Kluyveromyces lactis: one gene and its partner. Each later gene encodes a partner of the first gene's protein in a complex. Links are inferred from orthologs where the notes say so. Each region holds a gene or a part of one and is shown in the gene's direction. Other genes may lie near its edges.

The links. Proteins that work in one complex are often made in the same cells at the same time.
Region 2: MRPS9 (region 1) and MRP10 share a complex: the UniProt entries of both Saccharomyces cerevisiae proteins name them as parts of the mitochondrial small ribosomal subunit. The link is inferred for Kluyveromyces lactis from reciprocal best matches to the Saccharomyces cerevisiae genes MRPS9 and MRP10.

Annotation. Positions count from the first base shown.
Region 1 is NC_006042.1:1,962,995-1,966,057, forward strand, and holds MRPS9 (mitochondrial 37S ribosomal protein uS9m), read left to right. Parts: upstream 1-1,635; coding exon 1,636-2,529; downstream 2,530-3,063. Other genes in the region: KLLA0_F21010g (zinc-dependent alcohol dehydrogenase), read left to right, coding at 1-1,009; MHF1 (Mhf1p), read right to left, coding at 2,629-2,946. UniProt on the Saccharomyces cerevisiae protein: Component of the mitochondrial ribosome (mitoribosome), a dedicated translation machinery responsible for the synthesis of mitochondrial genome-encoded proteins, including at least some of the essential transmembrane subunits of the mitochondrial respiratory chain.
Region 2 is NC_006041.1:1,178,075-1,180,314, forward strand, and holds MRP10 (mitochondrial 37S ribosomal protein mS37), read left to right. Parts: upstream 1-1,375; coding exon 1,376-1,663; downstream 1,664-2,240. Other genes in the region: NPC2 (sterol transporter), read left to right, coding at 1-248; succinate dehydrogenase assembly factor SDH5, read left to right, coding at 565-1,056; FAD1 (FMN adenylyltransferase), read right to left, coding at 1,810-2,240. UniProt on the Saccharomyces cerevisiae protein: Component of the mitochondrial ribosome (mitoribosome), a dedicated translation machinery responsible for the synthesis of mitochondrial genome-encoded proteins, including at least some of the essential transmembrane subunits of the mitochondrial respiratory chain.

The DNA of each region.
Region 1 (3,063 bases):
CGAAAACGGTGGTGAATTGCAATACAAGGACATCCCAGTTCCAAAGCCAAAGGCTAACGAACTTTTGATCAACGTCAAGTACTCCGGTGTCTGTCACACCGATTTGCACGCATGGAAGGGTGACTGGCCTTTGCCAACCAAATTGCCATTAGTTGGTGGTCACGAAGGTGCTGGTGTCGTTGTTGCTATGGGTGAAAACGTCAAGGGCTGGAAGATTGGTGACTTCGCTGGTATCAAATGGTTGAACGGTTCTTGTATGTCCTGTGAATACTGTGAATTGTCCAACGAATCCAACTGTCCAGAAGCTGACTTGTCCGGTTACACTCACGACGGTTCTTTCCAACAATACGCTACTGCTGATGCCGTTCAAGCTGCCAAGATCCCAGTCGGTACTGACTTGGCTGAAGTTGCTCCAGTGCTATGTGCTGGTGTCACCGTTTACAAGGCCCTAAAATCCGCCAACTTGAAGGCCGGTGACTGGGTCGCCATCTCTGGTGCTGCTGGTGGTCTAGGTTCTCTAGCTGTCCAATACGCCAAGGCCATGGGTTACAGAGTGTTGGGTATCGATGCTGGTGAAGAAAAGGCTAAGTTGTTCAAGGACTTGGGTGGTGAATACTTCATTGATTTCACCAAGTCCAAGAACATCCCAGAAGAAGTCATCGAAGCTACCAAGGGTGGTGCTCACGGTGTCATCAACGTCTCTGTCTCCGAATTCGCTATCGAACAATCTACCAACTACGTCAGATCTAACGGTACCGTCGTATTGGTCGGTCTACCAAGAGACGCCAAGTGTAAGTCCGATGTCTTTAACCAAGTTGTGAAGTCCATCTCCATTGTCGGTTCTTACGTCGGTAACAGAGCTGACACCAGAGAAGCCATTGACTTCTTCTCCAGAGGTCTAGTCAAGGCTCCAATCCACGTCGTTGGTTTGTCCGAACTACCATCCATCTACGAAAAGATGGAAAAGGGTGCTATCGTCGGTAGATACGTCGTCGACACTTCAAAATAATGAAATCTCTTCCGCATTCAAGTCATGACTTTTTTCACCTTTTATATGTTTCCCTCCTCTCTCCGTTTATATAAAACATATCTGATCATTACTTCCCACTTATTCCGCCTGGTGTAGTGCTACTAGATCAATCCAACTTTATAATAAATCATTTTATAGACCTTCAAAATGAGACACGATATAATACTTTAATTCTTTAGCTCTTTTATAATAATTCTTACCACCCAAAAAAAAGGGAACTAATAACACCATTATACCATTACAGTACACATTGCGACCATCACCCTTAAGGTGAATACATCTGACCCCTAAAACAACTGGTACGTTCCAACTAGCTGACCTCTTAAGTACATCGACAATGTTCGCTTCGACCATCACACTGTACGAGTTGAAGTTCCATGTCTAACTCTGTATACATTGTCACTGGGAGCGAGCCAGACACGGATCTGCATTTCTAGATTGAAAAACTGAGAAAGTGAAAAATTTGGAAAGCTCAACCAGAGGTAGAGATAGAGATAGAGACAGACATAAATTAAGCTGAGCAGTCTTTATCTTAGTCGCCTGAGGTCTTTCGTGAGCAGTTTCCACAGGGATAGAAGGGGAGACTAAAACCAAAGATCAGAAAAATGTTCTCACGTTTAACTGGTGTCTCTTTGAGACAGGGTCTTACGGTACAGAAAAGACTATTCTCTTATGCCAGGCCATTGTTTAACAGCTCGGGGTCTGAGAGGACCGGTTCTGGTTCAAGGCAGTACAATGATGGCGCCCGTGCTGGTGCAGAATATGGTTACACAGGGACTAGAATTGTGCCTAAGTTGTCTACTTTTTACTCCGCCAACCCACATCACGAAGCTCATATCGATAACTTAGAAGCGTTGTTGAGGAAATATATCAAATATCCTACCGTCCAAGTGGAAGAAAGGCCTTCCTGGTTGAGTTTGCAAGAGTACGCTCTAATAGGTGGTGGGTCCCGTTTGAAATCTACCCAGTATAAGCAGCTTTTGTTCATGTTGAACCGTTTGAATTCTATTGATCCACAGTTGGTTACCGATGAGATTTCGAACACTTTAGCGAAATACCATAAGAAGACGAAGTTGCAACCTCAAAGAGATACTTTGAAGCAATTAGACGAGTTTGGTAGAAGTTTGGCCATCGGAAGAAGAAAGACCTCTACTGCCAAGGTATATGTGGTTCGTGGTGAAGGTAAGATCTTAGTTAACGACCGTCAATTAAACGATTACTTCGTTAAAATGAAGGACAGAGAATCCGTAATGTATCCATTAAAAGCCATTGACAGTGTTGGCAAATATAACGTCTTTGCAATGGTTTCCGGAGGTGGTATTACGGGGCAAGCCGATGCCTTGATGCATGCAATCGGTAAGGCATTGGTTGCTTTCAACCCACTATTGAAAACTAGATTGCATAGATCCGGTGTCTTGACAAGAGATTACAGACACGTCGAAAGAAAGAAGCCTGGTAAGAGAAAGGCAAGAAAGATGCCTACCTGGGTTAAGCGTTGATCTGATATTAGTCTCTGACCTTTCCATTAAAAAAAACACATGCTTGTTTCACAAGTCCTGTACATATATAGCAATTTTACATAATTTAACAAGCTCCTTTCACCTTTTACTCTGTCGTCCTACGTTAGCATCTCGTAGTTCCATTAGTCGTAGTTTCAAAAAATCTTGTAGATCCTTGTTCTTCCTTGTTCGTAGTAACATATCTTCAGACGTAACAACATTTCTGTTAGCATGTTGGGCAAAAGCTTCCAAATCACCACCAACCTCACATATCTGCTGGTAAACCAGTTCAGTAAGAGTGTTGACATATTTTGAATTGTATTTTACATCTTCTGGTAGTTCTCTTTTGATAATCGATTCCACATAGAACCACAGCTTCCCGCGTAACTGGGATCGTAATCTCTTCTCTTCATCCATATTTGATCAACTGAACGACGCTACCATGAATAGAGCCCACAGGACAATGCCAAGTCAGGAATTGCCAGCTCAAAACTCTAAACGAACTGCTCAATCGATTGTAATCTTGTATATCTT
Region 2 (2,240 bases), on another chromosome or scaffold:
ACATCGAAGTTAGATTAGGTTACATCAAGTTAATCTCACAAACCTACGATTTGTGTGAACAATTGGAGGAGAACGACATCGACGGATTGAAATGTCCAATCGAGGAAGGTGTCTACGAGTTGAACAAGATCGTGGAGATCCCTAGCGAGGTGCCACCTGGCAAATACTCTGTCATTGCTAGAGCTTACAACGTCGACGATGAACAGATCACGTGCCTAACTGGTGAAGTAATCTTCCCAGCGTACTAGACACACCTGTCACAAAGGCTACCTGTCTCTCACTGACCTTACCCAGTGTGAGCCAAGTATAAGGTCTCCTCCTATAGCGACGTTGCAAAGCTGTGGAGTTCTAGGTCCATGTACACGTGACCGAACCGATTACGGCACCTTTTTACCCGTCTTGCTATATATAATATTAATTGAATCACAATTTGAATTGGTTGATCTCTCTCCTCCGTTACCCCAGGTTAGGAAGAGGTCCTAATTTGTATTACATATATCTAGTATACCCTCCTCTATACTATCCCTACCTGTCCAGTCAACAAACGACCACTGTCATCTAATAATGCTAAGAACTGTCTTCAACAAACCATCAGTGTTGAAATCTGGAGTTAACTCGATTACAAAGCAATGCCGTTCTCTTCACGCAAATGCTTACTTGTTGAACAAGGGCAACAGCAACGGTGCTGAGGGCCAAGATGACGATGTCACGGTGAGAATCAGAATCCCACCTATCAAGAGAACCGGCGAGTCTCTAGACAAGAAGCGTGCTAGATTAATTTATCAGTCCAGAAAGAGAGGTATTCTGGAAACAGACTTACTTTTGTCACGTTTTGCTGCTAAGTATTTAAAGGAAATGACCCCAGAACAACTAGAAGAGTACGACCAGTTGTTGAACGAACTAGATTGGGATATCTACTACTGGGCCACAGAAAACTATTCCATTACACCTCTTCCTGACAGATGGAAGAACTCCAATATTCTAAAACAATTGCAAGAGTTCAGTAAGAACAAGGATCGTGAAATCCTAAGCATGCCTGATCTTTCCAAATACTGAACATCAGCGGTATACGTACTTGCCAATTAAGCAACAGTATAGTCTATAGCTCTTATTTTATACCCATATGCTCTCTCTCCCTCTGTCGCGGCAGCTCATCATTTCCAGGGCAGGCCCAAGTGAAAAATTTAACCCGTACACCGCATACTTAGATCCAACATTGGCGAAAGTCTCAAAAATTTTGTTAAGATCATAAAGAATGATATCGTTTATATGATGGAAAATATCATAAATGTAGTCGCGTAGTCCGTTCTAGAGGTCTTGTAAGGTCGTGTTGCGAAGGGTACGTCCAAGATATCAAGTGTTCATATATTAAAGCATGTCCAGTAAGACTCCTCTTTATAAATTACCACCTCTTCCCAGACTTAAGGTGAAAAAGCCAATTATTCAACAAGAGGCTAACAGATGCTTGGTATTGATGTCCAATCTATTACAATGCTGGTCTTCTAACGGACACATGTACGGTGCATGTGAGACATTGGCCCAAGATTTGAAGGCATGTACCGCGGAAAATGCCTTAGGTAAGAACCAAAAAGTCCAGAAGAGTAATATCAACTATCATGCTGCTAGATTGTACGATAGAGTTGGTGGAAAATCTCATGATTAGAAAGAAGCAGACAGACTTTCTCCCCCTTCGTTATCACTTGTACATAATACCATTTTCTAATATTACATATATCATCTAAAATCAAGGAATTCACGATTTATTAAATATGATAGAGATTTTTGTAGCTATTTGTGAGTGGATTCATCTCAAACTTTTCTGGCGAGTCTGCCAGCTCTTTCCCACTCGTCTTTCGTTAGATACCATCCCGGATGGAACTCAGATGAATCATGCTGTTTGATGGTATTAAGGTCATTCTCGTTAATTTCGTTACAATGCATGTTAGAATCTCCTCTGTAATTGTTTTCAATTTCCCATTGGAAATCGCTATGTTCAGTCTCGGCCTTTGTCATGGAGCCTATAGGTTCTGGTATCCGTAGGTATGGATTTCTCAATGTGTTGTTTACACTGCCCAATGAAGTGAATCCCATCTCATATAATCCGCATACTTCTTCTCCCGAATACAATAGGAAACTCCATATCTGTGAGAGATTCCAATGTAGCAACGGTTGCAACCTGTAGAACTGGGGCCAACTGGGGTCCGTCTTTTGAATTGGTTGCAACGTCTCCCCAAATGGAT